Linked DNA regions of Coturnix japonica. The protein of the gene in region 1 purifies or fractionates together with the protein of each later gene. This does not show direct contact. Links are inferred from orthologs where the notes say so. Each region holds a gene or a part of one and is shown on either strand. Other genes may lie near its edges. The genes, in order: NFKB2, FBXW11, FBXW7 and MAP3K14.

The links.
Region 2: the proteins of NFKB2 (region 1) and FBXW11 purify together in Homo sapiens (affinity purification with mass spectrometry; 8 studies listed by BioGRID and IntAct, with this or other methods). This does not show direct contact. The link is inferred for Coturnix japonica from reciprocal best matches to the Homo sapiens genes NFKB2 and FBXW11.
Region 3: the proteins of NFKB2 (region 1) and FBXW7 purify together in Homo sapiens (affinity purification with mass spectrometry; 7 studies listed by BioGRID and IntAct, with this or other methods). This does not show direct contact. The link is inferred for Coturnix japonica from reciprocal best matches to the Homo sapiens genes NFKB2 and FBXW7.
Region 4: the proteins of NFKB2 (region 1) and MAP3K14 purify together in Homo sapiens (affinity purification with mass spectrometry; 6 studies listed by BioGRID and IntAct, with this or other methods). This does not show direct contact. The link is inferred for Coturnix japonica from reciprocal best matches to the Homo sapiens genes NFKB2 and MAP3K14.

Annotation. Positions count from the first base shown.
Region 1 is NC_029521.1:14,448,248-14,453,452, forward strand, and holds the start of NFKB2 (nuclear factor NF-kappa-B p100 subunit), read left to right. Parts: upstream 1-2,166; 5' UTR 2,167-2,355; intron 2,356-3,657; exon of another isoform or gene 3,658-3,975; 5' UTR 3,976-4,091; coding exon 4,092-4,136; intron 4,137-4,613; exon of another isoform or gene 4,614-4,729; coding exon of another isoform or gene 4,730-4,750; intron 4,751-4,988; coding exon 4,989-5,067; intron 5,068-5,205. Other genes in the region: TMEM150A (transmembrane protein 150A), read left to right, coding at 93-164, 283-350, 486-613, 693-870, 1,382-1,605. UniProt on the Homo sapiens protein: NF-kappa-B is a pleiotropic transcription factor present in almost all cell types and is the endpoint of a series of signal transduction events that are initiated by a vast array of stimuli related to many biological processes such as inflammation, immunity, differentiation, cell growth, tumorigenesis and apoptosis.
Region 2 is NC_029528.1:13,888,120-13,892,660, reverse strand, and holds part of FBXW11 (F-box/WD repeat-containing protein 11), read left to right. Parts: coding exon 1-96; intron 97-412; coding exon 413-491; intron 492-946; coding exon 947-1,108; 3' UTR 1,109-1,135; intron 1,136-2,647; 3' UTR 2,648-4,541.
Region 3 is NC_029519.1:29,877,258-29,882,553, reverse strand, and holds the start of FBXW7 (F-box/WD repeat-containing protein 7), read left to right. Parts: upstream 1-1,933; 5' UTR 1,934-2,034; exon of another isoform or gene 2,035-2,038; intron 2,039-5,296. UniProt on the Homo sapiens protein: Substrate recognition component of a SCF (SKP1-CUL1-F-box protein) E3 ubiquitin-protein ligase complex which mediates the ubiquitination and subsequent proteasomal degradation of target proteins.
Region 4 is NC_029542.1:892,069-897,135, forward strand, and holds the start of MAP3K14 (mitogen-activated protein kinase kinase kinase 14), read right to left. Parts: upstream 3,048-5,067; 5' UTR 2,926-3,047; intron 2,678-2,925; exon of another isoform or gene 949-2,677; intron 83-948; 5' UTR 65-82; coding exon 1-64.

The DNA.
Region 1 (5,205 bases):
TCTGTGGCTGTGTGATGGGGCATTGGGGTGACCCCGATGGGGATCCTCTTCTGGGGCCCCCAGCTCCCCAGCACATCCATTGCTCCCTGCAGGAACTACAACCAGTCGTGTGGCCTGGACAGCCCCGGCTCCTGCTGCACACTGGATCACATCCCGCTGGTCAGGTGAGGGGCAGTGGGGGCACGGGGAATGCTGGGTGCTCGGGGTCATCCTTGAGCAGACCCCGGGGGACCCCGCAGCCTGGTAACACCTGCTGAGGGCTGCCCTGCCTTGTACCCACAGCAAGTGTGGCACCCTGCCTCCTGAGAGCTGCTTCTTCAGCCTCATCTGCAGCCTGGGCTCCTTCATGGGTGAGTGTGTGGCACCGGGCTGGGAGCAGGCGTTGTGTGGTGCCAATCTGTGGGTGCCTGCTGTGGTGCGGAGGGGGGCAGCCGAGCATCAGGGTTTGCTGCCATTGGTGCAGACAGGTGCTCTCCATCCCGCAGTGATCCTGGTGGGGCTGCTGAGGTACGCCCACGTCCTGGAGCGCATTGGGCCATCGCTTCTCAACACCCTGGGGCTGGCTGCAGGCTGGCTCTGTGCTGCTGGGCTCACCATGGTGGGCAACTTCCAGGTAAGGCTGCGGGGTGGGAGTGAGCCAGGCTGGGATGGGGGACATGGAACATGACACTGTGCCCACACTGTGCCCACAGGTGGACCACGCCAAGGTGCTGCACTACATTGGGGCGGGGGTGGCCTTCCCCACCAGCATGCTGTTCGTCTTCCTGCAGTCCGTCCTCACGTACCGTGCAGCCAAGACCCACGGGCACTACTGGACAGGCCACCTGCGCAGCATCCTCACCGCCGTGGCCTTCGTCACACTCATCTTCAGTATCCTTCTCCTGGCCATTTGGGCCCAGGTGAGGCCAGGCTCCAGCCTGATGCCGTGTGGTCTGGGGGTATGGCAGCCTGGCAGGGCTCCAGCCCTGTGCTGGGTGGAGTGGGGAACGAGCTGTTTGTATTAACAGGTATTTTGAGCCCTTGGTAATGCACATCCTGAATTAGCTATAGCAGTGCCCTGACAGAGCTGAGGCTGACCCAAGCGGAGCACAGAAGCACTTTGTGCAGGTGCCCAGCACAGGAAAACCACAGCAGCCTGCAGGCAGGGCACGGCCCTTGGTCCACACTGGGGCTGCAGACTGTGCAGCCCTGTGCAGGGGCAGTGCTGTGATGCAGGGCTGTACAGGGGCTGGGAATGGGTTGGGGAGCAGTGCAGGTGGCAGGGGTTGGAGGGGACTAAGGGGTGGGTTTAGTTTTGAGGTGGTGGGATTGCTGCAGAGGGCGCTGTACTCTGTGTGTACCTGGGATGTGGCCATACTTTCCTTGACCAGCGTGTCCTCGGGCGGTGTGTTCTTCATCCAGGAGAGTTTTGTTCTGCAGCACGTGGCCGCCCTGTGCGAGTGGGTGTTCATCATTGACGTTCTGGTCTTCTATGGCACCTTCACTTTTGAGTTCGGGGCCATCTCTACAGACACCTTTCTGGTGCTGCTGAGAGCCAGCCGGGCCCCCAAGAGCCACAAAGGGGAGGACAGCCTGCCTGGCGCGGAGGGGCTGCCCATGCTCTGAGCTCCGTGCCACGAGCGTCTCCCACCCTAGTGCCTCTGGGTGTGTGTGTGTGTGTGTGTGTGTGTGTGTGTGTGTGCACATGGTGCTCGGTACCTGCCCTCCCACCTGGGGCTGCAGCCCATGTCCCTGCACAGGGGCTGGCCCTGCCTCCTTTCAGCTGCCGGGTGCAATCAGGATCCACTGCCCAGGCTGTGCCCAGTGGCTTCCCTGGGCTGTCTGTGCCCATTCCACGCTCCTTATAAGCCAGCATGGGAGGCCTTGCAGGTCTGCAGCTGCTTGGGGTCTGCCCAGGGTGAGTGAGTCCTTTGTGGCCTCTGCCGTCCCCTGGGCTCGTGGGAGAGCAACGAGTGTGTGTGTGTGGACATAGAGCTATGTATATGTATATATATATATGTGTACATACACATATTATATAGTTTTTCCTGTCCCTCGAGAGGGGTGGTTGCTGCTGCTGTGCGCGTTGATCAGGTTGTGCTTCCCGACCAGCTCACAATCGGCCTAGAACCCACCGGTACGTGTAGTTAAAGAGGATTTTTTATATATAATATATTAAAAAAAAAAAAAAGAATGAAAGTTACCAACAATGCACGAACCACAACCGAACCAACCGCAGCCCCGCAGGCCCCCACGGGCCGGCTGCGCTCCGCCCCGTGTCCCCGTGTCCCTGCGTGCGGGGCGGGCCTGGAAGCCCCGGGAGGCGGAGCCGGGACGGGACTTTCCCGGGGCAGCGGCAGCCGCGAGGGGTCGGGGGTGAGCGGCGGGGCGGACGGGGCGGACGGGAGAAGCTGCGCCGGTCCCGTACTGCGGGGTGGGCAGCGGGGAGATGGGGGGGGTCGGTGCTGGACGGCCGAGCTGCCCCGGGGAAGGTCGCGTGTCTCCCTGCTGAGCGCGGTGGGTGCTGCTGTCGGACGGGGGCCCCGCAGCGCTGCACCAAAGCTGCCTCGGGGGCCGATGCTGCAGCGGACCTGAGGGTAATGCGGGACCAGGAGCGGCTTCTGCGGGCTGTGCGGGCACACGGCAACAGGGCGGACGGGGCTGATCGCTGTGCGGCCGGGGTTTGATCGAACAAACTCGGCTGTTGTGGGAGAACTGCGCTCAGGTGGTTCTGTGCTGGAGGTGGGCAGTGGGCTGAGGGTTTGGTGGCCATAGATGCACATAGCTGCGATGGAACTGAGCCTGGAGCTGTGCAGACAGCACGAGGTTGGGAATTTAGGGCCGTGATTTGTGACTTCAGGCGGCTCCTGGGGAGCAAAATGGCAGAGGAGTGGCCCAGGGTGGGGGCTGCAGCACGGTGTCTGTATGCCAGCGTGGGTCGGAGCACTCCTGCTGTATCCTGTGCTCCTGGAGCACCTTCCCGGGGCTGCTGCACATCCCTGCTGGCAGCCAGACCGACAGACATGGAGCTGTCCTGCCTGCAGGGCCCCAACACAGCAGCTGTCACGGGAGGGAAGAGAACAGCATCTGCACGGGGCAGCAGCAGGCCTGGGCACCTGAGCTGTGGGAAGGCCTGAAGATGTGGGGCAGGAGGGAAGTGGGCTCCCGTGGGGCCATGCAGGGGGAGATTGGGGCCTCTGATGGCTGGGGCTGCTCAGTGCAGAAGGCAGCCCCCTGCCTGAGAGCCGGGCTGAGCTGTGTGGCTTCCAGGAACAAGGAAATGAAGCTGCCCCTGACCCTGCTTACGAGCCAGGTGTTCCAGCTTCTCCTGACACATGGGCGCAGGAAAGGGAAACCTCTGGAGTGAGTCGTGGGCTGGACAGAGGAAAGGGCTGCCCTGTGTTGCACCTTGTTGTGCTGTGTGCTGCAACGAGGGCAGTGCTGAGCAATCTGTGAAAGCCCCTCAGGAAGGGACAGAGAAAGGAGAACTGCTGCATGTGAAGGGCACAGCGGGCCCTTCCCATGGGCCCATTGGGCGTGATGCTGCAGTGCAGGGATACTCTTCTCCTCATTCATCTCTGTGACATCCGTGCCAACAGCTCTGGGGGCTGAGGGTGCAGGGGCAGGATCCCAAGCAGGTGTGGAGCTCCCCACCGGTGCAGGGCCAAGAACGTGCTGTGCTCTCGGGCTCTGGGAGCGGCCCAAGGAATGTCCCCCGGCCCCACACCTGGGCTAAGACACTGCCCGAGCTGCACCTCTGGGCTGGGACACAGGGCAGCCCCTGGAGGCCCAGGGGGCCGGAGAATCTCCTGGAAGAAGCGCTTTGCAGCTTCCGAAGAATATGAGTCACGCACGAGCTGAACAATCCCCTTCCTTCCCCCCGTCTCCCACACACCCAAAATCCCCTTGAGCGGGACCTGCGGCAGCCACTGATTCAGAAAATCGTGGTATGAGGGCACGGCGGACTCAGATCGTTCTTTTTCCTTCCTTGCTCAGTGAGGAGAAGGGATGCGGAGGAAGCGAGTTCACCCCGCGCTGCCCTGACCGTGCCCTCTGCCCGATCTCCGCGGCGATTCCCTGCGGCAAACCCTGACCCGGCGGTGCCCGCGGCGATGCTGGGGCTGGACGGGCTGCTGCGGCCGGCCGCCTCCGGCACGGTAAGCCGGGCTGCGGGTGCGGGGTGGGCCCTGGGAGAGCGGGGAGGAGGGATGGGGAGGCGGCTGGCAGACGGCGGCCGCGGCCCCTCGAAGGGGAGGGAGGTGGCGGGGCCGCCCTTACGCGGGACCCGTCGCGTCCGGGGGAGCCGCTCCGTGCCGTGCCCGGGACGCGCCGCGGGGCAGCGCCGTGAGCCGAGGATGGAGCGTCCCTGCGGGCGCGGGGCCGAGCCCCGGAGGCGCCGTCGGGATTTCCAGCCCTCCCGGGGCTGCCCCCGCGGGGCCCCGCCGCTGAGTGATTGCGATCCTCCCGCTCAGCGCCCAAAACTCCCCGGGTGTTTCGGGAGGGCTGGAAGCGACTCGCCCCGCGCCCGAACAGCCCCGCTTCGCCCCCGCCCCGCTCCGCCCTCCGGCCGCCGGTGGCCGCGGGGCCGTGCCGAGCCGGCGGGGCGGGGCGGGGCGGTGACGCGCGGGGCCGTCATTTCCCGGCTCCGCGGGGTTTCTAGGGACTTTCCGGAGCGCTCTGCCTTCCTGCCGCCGCCGGCCCCGCTCCGCGCCCGCCGTTCCCGCAGGCCGGCGGCCGGCCCCGCAGCGACATGGACGAGCACTTCCAGCCCGTGAGTGCGGCCGGGGGGTCCCGCGGGGCGCCGTCTGTCCGCTCGTGTGCACGCGTGCCGTCCTGTCTGTCCGCCTGTCCGTCCTAATGCTCGGGCTGGGCTCGGCGGACCCCGGGTGGGCGTGAGATGGGCGCTCTGTGTCTGATCCCCCTCGTCCCTGGGAAGTGGGGAGCTACGTGCGGTCTGCTTTCGGCCGGGGGGGTCCAGCCCTGCAGCTCACGCTGCCCTTCCTTCCCAGTGCCTGGATGGAATTGACTACGACGACTTCAGCTTTGGCTCCCACATGGTGGAGCAGAAGGAGCCCCTGATGGAGACAGGTAAGCGCTGTGTCCCCTTGGGTGGCTCGCAGCAGCCCCGTGTTCCCCTGTCCCTGGTGTGGGCTGGCTGGGAGCCCAGCCCTACGCTCCAGAGCAGGGCTGTGCCACCTGGCCCCGCTGTGCCCCATCTGCTGGGGT
Region 2 (4,541 bases), on another chromosome or scaffold:
ATGTGGTGCCTGTTTAAGGGTATTAGAAGGCCATGAAGAACTGGTCCGATGCATCAGGTTCGACAATAAGAGGATTGTTAGTGGAGCCTATGATGGGTATGTTTCTAAGAGCTATTTCAAAAGGTTCCAAACTGACTTGTGTATACAAATGTAGTTAGTTGGTCTTGAGTATAAACAACCCACTTGGGCCATCACAAAGACATCACTGTATTTGCTGCTTAAAAGAAATACAAAACTGCCCGTGTTTTATGGGATTCAGCTTTAGTAAATTAGTGAAGATAAATTATAACATTTTGCTCGATGCTGATAAATCAGCTGGAGGGAAGATCTGGAATATTCTGTCCATTGCTTTTAGAAGTTTCTGTGCTTACACTTGAAACAATGCTTTTAACCTTCTTATCTTTCTTTATAGCAAAATTAAAGTTTGGGACTTGCAAGCTGCTCTTGACCCCCGTGCCCCAGCAAGTACATTATGCTTGCGTACGTTAGTGGTATGTATAATTAATTAATTAATTTGAGGATTTGAGCAGTGTGTCCTAGGTGAAGCCATGATGTGTACAAAAACTGGGTTAGCAGCAGTGTTGAATGTGAAATGTTATGTAAGATGGAACCCCTGGTGTGGACCGTTATTGCCAGCCAGTCTTTGTAGATCGATGCTTCCTGATAGACTGTGTTAGTCTTAATAATGTCAGCCTCAACATGTGCAGTGGGCCCCTGCAGGGGAGAGGCAGGGCTTATGAGTACTTTATTTGAAAGCTGTGTGTTATGCTGAACAACGTTTATGTATGAAAACTGCTTTTCTTTAGAGTCAAGTGTGATTATAACTAAGGGCTTCTTAAACAGAGCACCAAAATTTTAATACACCATTCTGCATCCAGGTCTGAGTACAAACATAATGAATTGTTATCCTCTTCTTGGCCTCCTAACTGATGTCCATTACTCACAGGAACATTCAGGACGTGTCTTTAGGCTCCAGTTTGATGAATTTCAGATCATTAGTAGTTCCCATGACGATACAATTCTGATTTGGGATTTCTTAAACGTGCCACCCAGTGCCCCAAACGAGACTCGCTCTCCATCTAGAACATACACTTACATCTCCAGATAACAGTCTGCACTTTACTACCCTCAGAAGGTAAGTCTTTGTCTCTTCACATATATAAGTTTATCACTTCACCTGTGTGGCATAGTTGTGTTCTTGTTGCGGAAAGCTTGGTGCCATCACTGGTTGTGTCCCCATACCCTATAGACAGAGATGCTCCCGTTGGCTGCTGTGCCACATGGAGCAATACCTAGGTGAACTTTTACTGTGGAAACTCCGAGGCTTGTTGGAGTTGAATGGTTACTAGTTTTGATTTATGGAAAAGCTATACGTGGTTTGTCTTAAGCGCAAGAGGAATATGTTGGTGACTTATCTTCTTTCTTGCCACCTGTGACCTGCAAGATCTGCTGTCAAGGAGATCAGTGGGTGAAATATGAAGAGCCTTTGGCGGTGTGTTCTTCCTTTCAAATTCTGCACACTTGACAATTTTTAGCAGCTTATGTCTGACTTGTCCTGTGATGCACAACTGAAAACACGCAGGGATATGATCCAAGGAATTGCTAGTGTTGATAAATGACTGTCCCTTAATGATGTTTCCTGTACAGGAGAGATGCTGTGATATCATTTTCTGAAGGGTTTTTCTGAAATCAGAATCCACAAAGCATAAATCTACATACAATTATGGTCAAACAGCTAATATTTCATTATGACACTTAATGAAACAGTTTTATATGCTTTCAAACATTATAGTTTTCTGTGTTTTGAAACAGCCCCGCGCCCTTGGTTTTTTACAAGGCTTGCAATGTTGTGCCTCTTCAAAGCGGATCATTTTTGACAGTCCTGGCAGTTGGCTGTGAGAGTTTTATTGCTTTCTGTTGAATTCCTGTTGTTTATTGTAACATGATAAAAATTGTTACCATATGATAGTCTGATATTCTTATATTAAGCACTAGGTCTTGTGTTAGGGGGAAGGGAAGCCATTGGTTAATGTCTAAAGATGTTTTAACCTTTGGCAATTTCATATCAGAACGGGGTGGTTCACCATAGTCCAGAAAAGTGATTTTAAAAAGTGGCAAGTAGGACTGAAATTTGGGTTTAATTATGCCAAATATTTACATGATGTGACTGGATGGGGGAAACGGAGTCTAAAACTAGTTTTGGTGTGTTGTGTTTTCTTAAAATCCCATTTACTGGAAGTGAAATTTATATCCTGAGCAAAGCTTGTTCCTCTGCAGCATGGGGGGAAGGAAGGTTCCGTTGTCACTCCTTCAATTAAGTGCTCAGCATTTAGCAAGATGAGCAGGTGGTTCAACTTTTAGTTCCCCCAAAGGTATGTAAGAAAGATGCTCAAATGTTCAGAACATATTCTGCAGCAAAGGCAGTGTCCCATGTTCCATCCATCCATCCTTGGAGGAAGGACTTCTAACACAGAATGGTTTAAAGCTGTGTACCTCCTTCACATGATAAGCACTGTACTCCTCACAGGTGTTTTGTAGTTTCAGCCTGGAGTGCCTAAGATGGTGCTTAACCTTCTCCGTATGTCTCCAAAAGGTGCTTTTTGACTTGCGTGTCCTGTGAGTTCAGTTTGTCTTTTGTCTCTTTCAGGGTTTCACAGTCTTGAACTACTGGATTTTGGCTCCTACATGCCTGAAGATGTTGATCGACAGCTAAAGTCAGAATTGGTTCTAGATGCTGTGTAGATGCAAAGCAGCACGATTCTATATCTAAATTTCTTAATCTTTCCTGCTCTCAGTGGTCGTCTTTGAATTTACTACAAATTCACTGACTTCGAGTAGATGAATTTCAGAAGCCTTCCCTTCCCTGCAGTGAGAAATCCAAAGCTTCACATGTATATTGTCCGTAGAACCTGAACTCAGATGGCTTGTTTTTCAGAAATAAATCAGACGTCAAGAAAGGACTTGGCCTAATTTATATTGCTTTGCACTTTTGTCTGACTTTAAAGAAAAAAAACATTCTCCGATGAAATTTGGGTGCCAAACACATACCCAGAATGTACAGAGCTTTGCTTTCAAAGTCATCGCTGTCCTTTAGACTTTGCTCTTATGGCAGATTCAGAGCCTGGTTTGTTTGATAGAGTGTACGTTGGACTCTTAGAAATATTTCTGAATTGCTCAGTAATATTTTTGGATTACAGTTTACTTGTTTCTGCTCCGATAATTTCTTTTAAATTAAAGATTTCCTGTAATTCAGGCTAGGTTATCTAAACTAGTTGTATAGCACCGTCTTTTCCTTTTAACTGTGCTCTGTACGACAGCCGTCCTGCGCTTCCTAATGTTTGGTATAGTAAAAACCTTTCCGTGTGTGCTTGCCTCATTTCAAATACTGTATAAGCATGTAGATATGATGTACATAACAGTGTAACCTCCGGGTGCTGGGAGTCAGGGTTTCCTGGCACTGCACACTAACGCAAGCTGTGGTAGCACTTGGCAGCAGGATGTTCTAACTACTGGCACTGTAGGGGTTAATATGAATTACCTAGACATTTTCTCTGCAAAAAGGAGGTTTTCAGTATTCGTTAGGATTTTTTTAATGGGAACTACGTATTTTAAAATGTAATTTCTAAACTTTTTAAAAATTAAAAAAAACCGAAAAAACAGACAAACCAAGAAGAAGTTTAATTTATGTTCTGTATCTTATATTTTGTGCCGCAGTATTTACAGTTGTCTTTCTTTTACCACCAGTAGGTTCTCACGGCCGCCTGCTGACGTCCTTTAGCATTAGTTTGGCTGCTCAGTGGAGGAGGTGCCATGGGCCAAAGCGAAGTTTATTTATGTTCAGTTTGTAACCCTTCCTCATGGTGGAGGACCCTTCAGGTCAATGCTCTGATCGCCCTGCAGGGTTCCTTACCCGTAGCTCTCAGCTGTAACCATATTGCAGCGTCCTGGTCATGGTTTCTCTTTGTTAGCATGCTTTTATTTGGGAATCTCGGTAGTTCCTTTTTATGTTGTCTCAGCCTCCCCTCTAATTTATGTGCTCACATGAACGCTACTGCATTTCTCTTACATTGGAGTAAGCCGTGGACAGATGCAGACTTGAATATCGTACCTTCGTTAGCTGTGTGTGACTCTGCTGCTGGCTTTTCTTCAGTGCTTCAGTCAATCTCAGCATGGAGTGCTCCCGTTTTCCTGGTGAAGACGTGTGTTGGCACAGGGATGGATCACCACGGATCGTTGTGTGTTTGTGTCCCCTGGCTGCACTCTGTTGGGTTGGAGTTTCTCCTCCGGACCATCAGGAAGGCTGAGGGCTGTCAGGTTCCTGAGTGCAGGGAGGCATCACTTTGTGTCAAACCAGCTCAGAGAAAGTGTGAATCAAGACATTGCCAGGGTGGTACAGCAGAGCATCTGTAAGGTTCTCTCCTCTTCACATTGAGAAGTGTTGGGGTCAGTGTTAAACTCCCATTCACGTGTTACTGCGACGTCTTCCCTTCCCCAAGATGAACCCAACGTGACGAAGTACAGAAGGCTAAAAACGGCTCCTG
Region 3 (5,296 bases), on another chromosome or scaffold:
CAGCTTAAGGCTGTTCTCTCTCACCCTATCACTGTTACCCTGGAGAAGAGGCTGAACCCCACCTCAGCACAACCTCCTTTCAGGTAGTGACAGAGAGTGATGAGGTCTCCCTTGAGTTTCCTCTTCTTCAAACCTAACAGTTCCAGTTCCTTCAGCCGCTCCTCATAAGACTTGTGCTCCAGACCCCTCACAGGTTTGTTGCCCTTCTCTGGACAAGCTCCAAGACCTTGAGGGGCCCAAAAGGCAGCAGCCATTCCTGGCGCTGGCAGCAGCTCCTGCCTTTGCTGCTCCCAAAGTGCTGCGTCCCTCTTGATCTGCTCTTGAGATGCCGTGGCTCTCAGCCCCCTGCTCTGCCCATTGAAATTCTGCCAGCATCCCATCCTTGGCACCGCTCCCAAAGTCAGCACTGAGAGCATCGCTAGCGTGACTGCTAACAGCTTTAACATGAGGAGGAAAGGAAAACGAGAGAGGAGTTTGGAGACTCGGATAAGCTCAGCCATCTGTTTGTGATACGCGGGAAGAGAAGAATCAGGTAAACAAGGGTATGGCAAGGGATAAAGAAACATCCAGCAAAAGATGACGGGGAGGCAGAAGCAGCTGCTGGAGCGGAGGAGCAGATGGGAAGAAGATAGCAGGCAATTGGAAGGCATTTAGCGTGGTGAGATGGCCTCTGGCCTGGCTGCCTTAAAGGGCAGAGCAGCGTCTGCCTGCACAGCCCTGGGGACAGGCTGACATGGCACACATCAGCACGCAGAGGGTGGGGAATGCCAGGGGTGAGTAGCACAGCCCATATGGAATTTGCTCTTCTGTGTTTTAGGATAACAACACGACCAAGTGCTTTTTTATTGTATTTTTTATTTTTCCCCATATGCTGTGAGACTTTCTGGCGCACGGCCACCTCACACGCTTAAGGAGCAGTTATTAAATCCTTTTATTTTTTGCTACCTTCCATAATGCAGACTAGGTGAACTCGTTAAGGTCCCATATAACGACCGCCCCGTCACAGACGGCAGACACTGCTGGAACTGCTATTGGGCTTGAGATGTAGGGACACGTGCAAGCATTGCTCTGATGACAACTCGCTGACACACGCTGCAGACCGTGGGTCGGTCTCCATAGCAGCGCCAACGCGCGGCCCTCCCGGCGGCGGGGCGGGGGCACGCGCACGTGCAGGCGTGCAAGGCCTTAGCACCTCCCCGCCCACCGCTCCGCGCTCTCTCTGTCTGTGGCTCCGCCCCTCGCGGCGGGAAGGAGGCGCGTCCATCCCGCGCGCAGCCGCCGTGCTCGCTCGGTGCCTCGCGGCGCCGCCTCCTTGTCCCGGGCTGAACCGTGCTGCCGCGGCGCTACCTGCAGGGCTCCACCTTGCCCTCCGAGCGCGTCATCGCCCCGCGCCGCCACGGGGAGAGAGCGGGCGGGGCGTGTTGCCGGGTTACGGCTGTCATCCGCGCGCGCCGCCGCGCTGCTCGCTCGTTCGCTCCCTCTCTCTCTCTCTCCCTCTCTCTCTCTCTCTGTGCTGCCCGCCCGCCCGCTCTCCCCGCCCCCTCTCGCCGCCGCCACCGCGAGCAGCGGACCCCGGGGCGCCCCCCGCGCCGCCCGCACATGCCGCAGAGCGCAGCGGCCGCGTTGCCGCTCCCCGCCGCCCGGCTGGGCCTCTAGCGGCCCCCCCGCCGCTGCAGCCGGGCCCGGAGTGCATGAGAGGGGGAGCGGGCCGGCGGCGGCCCCAGCCACTCGCCTCCCGGCCGGCCGCGGCGGCGGCGCAGCGCCCGGCCCGGGGGGCAGCGAGGGGCGGCGTCGGCCCCATGTGAGGAGGGGCGGCGCCGCTGCCGCCCAGCCAGCCCGGGGCCCGGCCCCGACAGCGCCCCGCCGCAGCGGGGCTGGACGCGGCCGCCCCCGAGAAGCCGCCCGGGGCCCCGCGGCGCCGGCAGCCCCGGGGCGGGGGGCGGCGGCCGGTCCCTTCCTTACCGCCGGGCGGGCGGGCGGGCGGGCGCGCACGGAGGCAGCCGAAGGACAACCCGCAGGAGCACGGCCCGACAAGTGAGTGAGTACCCGGGAGGGGGGGCACCTCTCCGCCGTTCTTTGTGTCCGGCGGCGCGGCGCGGGACGCCGAACAAAGAACGTGGCCGGCGGGAGCGGGGCCGGGCCCGCCTCGTGTGCTCGGGAGGGGGAACCTGCGGCACAACGTGCCCGGTCGCAACGAGCGGCCACCGAGTGCGGTGTGCGTGCCGCGTGCTCGTGCGCTTTTAAAGCCCGAAGTTGGCGCTTTGTGAAGAACTTCTCTACAAGTGATCTGCCCGTGAGGCTGGGGAGCCGCTTCTGGGGCCATCCCGGTCTATGGGGATGGGTTTTGTGGGTTTCTCCTTTTTCCCTTATTTTTTTGCATTTTTGCAGACTATGATTTTCCTCTGAGCGGAAACAACAAGAACCCCCAAAACAAACAAACATAAAACCACCCCAAATCAATAAAAAAGGAAACAAAACCAGAATTGCTGTAGTGGACTGCCTTGTGCTTAACCGGAGAAGATAACATGTAGTTATTCAGTGCAGAAAGCAAGCTCTGTCCATCCCTTCTGAGTTTTGTTCCTCCTGAGTTTACTCTCACACACCGCTGTCTCACCTGGGAGAGCAGCTCAGGTGCTGTTTGTTTGCAGTGTTCAGACACAGGTGCAGGAGCCAGTTCTGCCCAAACTGCTCGTTGTGTGTTTGCCATTGGCCCTGGTTCCTGTCTCCAGCCTGGGAAGCAGAAGGGAATGCAGAGGTAGGCAGTGCCCCACACGTGTGTCGGCTTCTCTTTGAGATGTAACTTTCTGGCAGATGGGAAGAGTCTATTTTAGGCCAAGATATCTCCCTGTCTTAAGCTCCTTGTTGTCATTGCAGTCTTAAAAAGGTGTGTGCCTGTGTGTGGGGGGAAATGAAGTCTCCGTTTAGATGAAGTTTTGCTTTTCTTGCCCCAGGAGCCAGAGGTTGGGAAAGGAGTTTTCCTTCAGGTCACGGTGCTGAAGGGATGGTTGGTGCTTTTGTCCACTGCCTGTAGGAGTCAAAAGACACCGCATCTCCCCCTGCTCTGCTGTGGAGATTACATTTGCTTTTATGTCACTTCCTGGTTTCAAACTTAAATTTGCCCTTTGCTGTTCCGCTGTCCTGTTTCTAATAACATCCCCATGCTGCCTGTTGGCAGCCCCAGAGCGTTCCTGTGGGGGTTCCAGGCACACACATATCTCAAGAGAATATATGGCATCATGCTATTAAAATGTTTTTTTGGGGGGTTTAGGTAACTTTTCCTATTCTAGCTCATATCTAATCAGAGCAATTCTACTAGCATCTGTTGCACTAGCATCTGTTTGGTAGCAGAGATATTCCTTTTCAGAAGGTGCATGAGTTCGGTCTGTATCAGCTTTTTAGAGGGGCTTTAGAAAAAGATGTCATTTATATCTTCAGACTGACTCTCAGATCAAGTTCTTTCTTCCCCCTGCGTATGCATGCTTTACTTTGAAGAAGAACTTCAGTAGGATTTCTTCTCTGAGCTCTCAGGATTGGAACGTGTGTGGTGGTTTAGGCCCGCTGATGTCATTGAACCAAGTTCTGTCTCTTTAAGGAAACCAAGCATCTTTTAGTCAGCGTTAGTCATGTAGTCTGTGTGAAGTTCAGGCTGCTCTTAGCAAATGTGTTTAATCTTTTCACTGTTCCTCTTAAGAACACAGTCACACTGAGTTTACGTGCATCACATTTGAAATGAAAGTGCTGTTAAGCTGAAAAAGCTGAAGTATCTTCAGCTTTCTTTGATGCAAGTTGTGTGTATCAGGTAATTCCTGGAAGAGATGACATGAAATGCTTGTAGTCACTCCTGCCAATACTCTTCTGTGTTAAAAGGACTGTAGCTATTTGCAGAAACTGGGGGGTGAGTCTGCACTAACACATCTCTCATAGTTGCTCGATAGACTGAGGATGCTTACGAGGATTCTACAGACCTGTGTCAGCAGAGATGCGAGATGTTTGTTTGATGAGGGCTTGTACACATGCAAGTTTAGAAATCAGCTGATTGTTAACAAAATTCTTGGTCTTGCGGTTTGGTGGCACAGCCGCTGGTGCTGCTGGAAGCTGTGCTGGCTTAAACCAAAGGCTGGCTGGGCCCGCTGCCCTGCGGTCACCCCTGTGTGAGCAGCAGCGTGCGCTGCTGGCTGCTTTCCTCACGGCACCCTGCCCATGCCTGTCCCCTTGTGGCTTTGGCTGCTTCGTTCTGGGCATCCAGCCTCGTGGTGGCTTGTTCTCATGTGAATGGGGCTTGGAGGGAAGAGGAGATATGGTTTATGTAAGTAAGCGCTTCCACTTGTCAGCCCATATCTCTGAAGTTTATGCTTAAAAAATCCCCCGCGCCCTTCTCTTTGAAATAGTGGTTATCTTATGAGAGTTCTACCGAAATTATTCATGATGTCATGTCTTAAGGTATGAGCAGGTATCTTACTCTGTTACTAACTCAACATGTTACCATCAGCTAGAGAGCCTGGTGCTACAGCTTGGCTAGTAAGAGGAGATGTGAAATACTTCTTGTTCAAAACAAATATGTTTAGCTCAGATCATTTTTGCATTGTGAGCTGAGGTGGTTGGCTTCTCACTGAAGGATGAGGAGTCTGCATATATGCTTTTTCACTGGCAGAATACCGATGTGATTTCAGCAGTAAATGTTCAGGTGCAGGTTACCTATGGGAACAAGTTTTGTACTCAGACAGCTGTTCTGCTCCCTTCTGGGTCCCTCCAAGATGGTCAGTGGTGGTCACTGCTGACCAAGCCAGCAAAATTTGTTGAGTTATCTTGATCAACTGTAAATAGGGTTCTGGAATGGAGAGGTGTGGGATGTTCTGTCTGTATGCACTATTGCCAGTTTTGCCTCTAACTTTGGAGTTGTACCAGTATGGTGCATTTTGCAATGCAGTTCACTCACCCTCAGCTTTTGTAATTTTCTTTGAAAAAGAAGAACACAAAAGGCAATTTCTACTTCTTCCTTTAAAAGTGCTTGCCAGATTTAAAACCCCAAATATATTGTTATGATGATGTAAAAAAAGGAGTGTCTTTAGTTCTTTCAGAAATGGTTTGATCTGTTTCTGATTGGTCTCAGGAGGCAGCTTTGTAGCCTCTGATATGAGTCAAGCCTCGTTACCTGTGATAGTCATAGGTGGGGGGTGAATTTAGTTTGTTATTGGCTTGAAATTGGGTACCTGTTTACAGCAAAGGGACAGCTCCAAGGCAGCTGATGTTGAGTAAAGCCTGCTGTTTGGAGATTGGGCAGCTGAAAATGGTCCGA
Region 4 (5,067 bases), on another chromosome or scaffold:
GCTCCTGCTGCTGCTTGGTGGGCGGAGCGGGAGCTCCATGGCACACAATCCCCATCACTGCCATTTCACAGCTTCACAGCCCCTAATGAGGAATGGGAAAATAAAAGCACAACACTCATTATAACACCTCCCAGGCAAAGCAGCTCCACACTCGGGAGAAAAAGAAGCCTGCCCACGGCGTCCATTAACACTGATCCAATGCAAAGCAAGGCTCGACGCAGCGCTGAGCATGGAAGCCAAGACAAACCCACCCCCACCAGCTCCCACGCGGGGCTGTACCCCATCATCACAGCCACCCCTGCCCCTTCTCTACAGAAATCAAGGCAGATCTCAGGGCTGTAAAACAATCCCTCGGAGCAGCAGAAGCCGGCAGCAGATGACTAACAGTGAGCCTGCAGCGCACACCAACAGGCTCAGAGCTATTTTTACACTCACTGCTGCCCCGTCTGCATTAACTCTGTCCCTCCTTGCCCTCTCCTCACCTTCAGGGGCTGCAGAGCAAAGCCCTGCCCACCCCTGAGAGCGCGCAGCTCTGCAAGGTGCTCCTCGGTTAAAAGGTAATAGAGGGAGGGGAGATGTGGAACCGCAACCGCCTGATAAGGAAAGGAGCAGCACGGGAACATCGATGGGAGTGAAATCTGAAGGGGGAACCTCACTGGGCAGCACACAAAGCTCATGTGGGTCGATGGGGCACTGTGGGCTCCGGAGCTGCCAGCTCCAAGCACTGCCATCCAACCTGCAGGCTTTACAGGACCCCAAAACCAATGTGCAGCTCAGAGCACCTGGGAGCTGTGATGAAAAGGAACCGATGCAGAACTTCTACATAATGGCTGCAGCAGATGAGCAGCTCAGGATGGACCACGCAGCACTGAGCCCCATGATGCTCCAATGTAAGTGCTGTGAGCTGTGAGCTGTGCCCCCCATCCTGCCCTCCTGCACTGAGCGCACCTGGCGCTGCGGGTCCCAGCTCTGCTGCTTTCAGAACCTCCTCTGGCTCATCCACATCACTGAGACTCAACTCTTGATTTCAGTACCCCTGGCTTCCTTCCTTCCTCCTGCAGATGTGTGCACGGGCTCGTGCTTTGCCAGAGGAAAAGGAGAGGTCAGGTAACGAGGCACTAAGTGAAGGCGAGCGCTGCAGCACCGATCCACGCAGGGCCCTGGATGGCAGCGGGAAGGGTTGTTGAGGAAGGCTGCAGCTCTCAGCCCGTTAACCAACGTCAGTTCTCACTGCTGTAAAATAGAAAGTGCAGTTGTACAGAACGAAAGCCGACATGGTATCAGTTGTGCTGCGGCAGCACCGGCACAGAGCTGACGGCTTCCGCTGGGAGCTGCATGGGGCTGCGGGGCACAGAGCAGTGCTGCGGGGCTTCCTGCTCCTTCCACCTTCCCCCCAGCAGCTCCCCGCTGCCCCTTCCCACCCCAGCAGTGTCCTGCATTGCACACAGCTCTGCTCTCCCAATCTGAGTGTGCTGCAGCTGCTTCATGTTGACATTTCACGTCGTCTCCATGAGGTTTCCCACTTCCTTATTGAGAAGAGCGCGATGAGCAGCGCTGACTTGGGGACTCCACCAACACAACACAATGCCCTCAGCTCCAGCAGGACAAGGCTGGGCTGCCACGTTGGGGCTCCAGCCCAAACTCAGGCGGTTCCGTTCCCAGCAGCGTCAGCTCACAGCATGTTACTGCAGCGCAGAGCAGCTCCGTGCTGACGGGAGGGAGAAGTTTCGCTTTGTCTCAGTAGGGATTGAGAAAAGAAAGCTGCAGCGCTCAGCACACGCCCCTTGTCCTTAACTCACACACTGCGCACGCAAAGAGAGGAGAAAAGACTTCCTGGAGGTACGAGGAGCTCCGGGCTGGGAAGGAGCACAGGCTGCAGGGCAGCAGCCAGAGCAGGAGGTGCAATGCTGGGCTGCTCCTCACACTGTGCTGCCTCCTCTGTACGGTGCTGCCTCCTCTGCATGGTGCTCCCATGGCCTGATGGCTCCCATTGCCCTCCAGCTGTGCAGGACTCCCGGTGCTGTCAGTGAGGTTTGTTACAGACACCTCCTGTTCCACTGGTTTGATGGCAAGCACTGCAAGCTCCTATTTCTGCTTACCCTGGGATGGAGAGCACCAGTATCCACCCGGCCCTCCTGCAGCCGGGACACAAGAGCTGCAGGGAAACATCCGTGAGCAGAACTCCATGTACCAACCATCTGTCGCTGTTTCCCTCAGCACGAGTCCCTTCATGAGCAGAGATGTGAATGGCAGCGTGTCCCCATGTGTTTGATGCACTCAGCTTTCCCAGCTCAGAGCCCACCGCCAGCACTCTGCCCTGCAGCCCATGGGACACAGCTGCACCCGGCTGGGTCACCCCCAGCACCGAGTGGATCCGAACCAGCTCCGTGCTGTCAGCAGGGCCCAGCGCTCACTGTGACACCGCAGCACAGCCCGAGCCTTCCAACTCACACCTACAGACACCAAACAACCCCAAAGTTCTGCCCAGCTCAGCACACATGGAAGCTCCTCAGCGTTATAAGGGCCGGGTACCGGCCGGGCCGCCCTTCACACGCGCTGAGCCCGGAGCGGCCCAAGGGAAGCGGCGATCCCAGCTCGGCCCCGCCACAACGCGCCGCGTTTCACAGCTCGAAGCGGGTGAGTCACCAACGAGGAATTCAAAGGCAGCGCCACGACCGGGCAGCGGCACGGCCTGAACGGCGGCACGGCCTGAACAGCGGCACCGGCCCGAACGGCGGCACGGCCCGAACAGCGGCACGGCAACGGCACGGCACGGCACGGCCCGGCCCGGCCCGCCCCGGCCCGGCTTGAGGTAAGGCGCTCCTCGTCCCCGCCCCGCCCCAGGCCCACCCCGCATACCCCAGCCCCCTGCCCCGCTGACCCTGTTCCCGCAGCCCTCCCTCCCTCCCTCCCTCCCTCCGGTACCGGCCGATCTCGTCGCTCCTCCGCGCTCCGGTCTTCGGTGCCGCCCGCCCCGCACACACCCCGTCCGTCCCGCCGTCCGTCCCGCCGCTCCCTCACACTGACAGGCGCGGGCGCCGCCGGTCCCGCCCCATCCGCCTGGCAGCCAATCACCGCGCTCCGATCCTCCTCTTGCCCCGCCCATTCTCCTCCCGCTCCGCCCCGCAGCCAATCGCCTCCCTTCGTTTTCTCTCGCCCCGCCCCATCTGACCCGCGGCCAATCACCGCCCAGGATTCCCTCCCCGCCTCCCGGCCGGTTTCCCGGAAGGGCGGAGCTTCCGGCGAACAGCCCCGCCCACCGCCTCGTGCAGGTGGTACTGCGCACGCGCGGTTTGTGGGCGCGCATGCGCAGAGCGAGCGGTGGGCGGGGCGGAGCTGCGGGGCTGCGGGTCGGTGTGAGGGGGAGGGGCGGGTGGTGCCATGAAGGGAGGAGGGGCCGGGCTGAACGGGCCGGGCTGAACGGGACGGGCACGGAACCAATAATGCTGCGGCACCGCCCCCCCCCCCGGCTGTGTAGCACAAACTGCTCCCGTGCCCCGCAGCTCCACCTTTGTGCCCTGCAGCACCTAGCCCATATCCCCACATATCCCCCATATCTCCCTATATCTCCCCATATCTCCCCATATCCCCCCATATACCCCCCGTGTCCCCCCGTGTCCCCCCATATCCCCCCCCATAGGACCCCTGTGACCCCATATCCCCCATTATCCCCTATATCTATATCCCCCATATTCTCCTCCGTGTCCCCATATCCTCTGTGTCCCCATATCCACCTCCCGTGTCCCCTTGTCCCCCCATATCCCCCCATATCTTCTCCGTGTCCTCATATCCCCCCTTATCCCCCTATATCCTATATCCCCCCATATCTCCTCCGTCTCCCCATATTCCCCTCTGTGTCCCCCTCTGTGTCCCCATATCCCTCCATATCCCCCCAGTGTCCCCATATCCCCCCCGTGTCCCCTTGTTCCCCCATATCTCCTCCGTGTCCCCATATCCCCGCCCAGTGTCCCCTTGTCCCCCCACATCCTCCCATATCTCCTCCGTGTCCTCATATCTCCCCATATCCCCCTATCCCCCATATCCCCCCGTGTCCCCATATCTCATCTGTGTCCGCGATCCCCCCGTGTCCCCATATTCCACCATATTCCCTCCGTGTCCCCATATCCCCCGGTGTCCCCATATCCCCCTCCCTGTGTCATATCCACCATTACCTTCGATGTCCCCATATCCCCCCCGTGTCCCTATATCCCTCCATATCTCACCATATCCCCCTCCCCGTGTCCCCATATCCCCCGTGCCCCCATTATATCCCCTATTACCCCCATTATATCCCCATCACACACTGGACGCCGCCTGAGGTTTGCGGCGGATTCTCCCGCTGTCCCGGCTCTGGGCGCAGCGTTACGGTCACAAACTCAGCCCCCCCCTCCGCTCCGAACGGACCCTCCGGCGATAACGGAGCTGGTTCGGACCGTGGGTGTCGGCAAAGAACTCGCAGCGTCCGCTGCTCACAAAGGGAACACGGAGAAGCGCTGCCTCGCGGCGGGGTTTTCAATGCAGGGACGGACGGAGCGGCCCAACTCCGGGTTGTGCTGCAGGGATCGAAGTTCGGGGCGAACGCGAACGGAGCGAGAGTGAGAACCGCTGTTACGGTGCGCGATGAACCGGCTGCATCCGCTCCTCCGTGAGCAGCTCACCGCGGTCACAGCGTTACACGGGGATGGACGGGGCAGCAAATGGCCCAAAGGTTTCACTTCCCGGCTCACACGGGCGGGTCTGACATCCACCCCCACGCGTGGGGCGCAGCTTTGGATGCTGCATCGTGCAGGGCTTTAACGCCGGGTTGGCGAACATCGTGGTGCTGCATGGACAGACCTGGTGCTCCCTCGGGCTCCCTGGAGGTCGTGTCGTGTCGTATCGTGTCGTATCGTGTCGTGTCGTGTCGTGTCGTGTCGGTGCTCTTTAGAACAGCGCTGCTCTGTGTTTGCAGGCGCTCCGTCACAGCTCCTCCCTCCCCAAGGCAGAAGCAGCGCTTCATGCAGGTCGCTTTCATTCCCACTCGCTGTGATCCTCACTGAGCAGAGCCCCACACCTCGCAGTCCATCA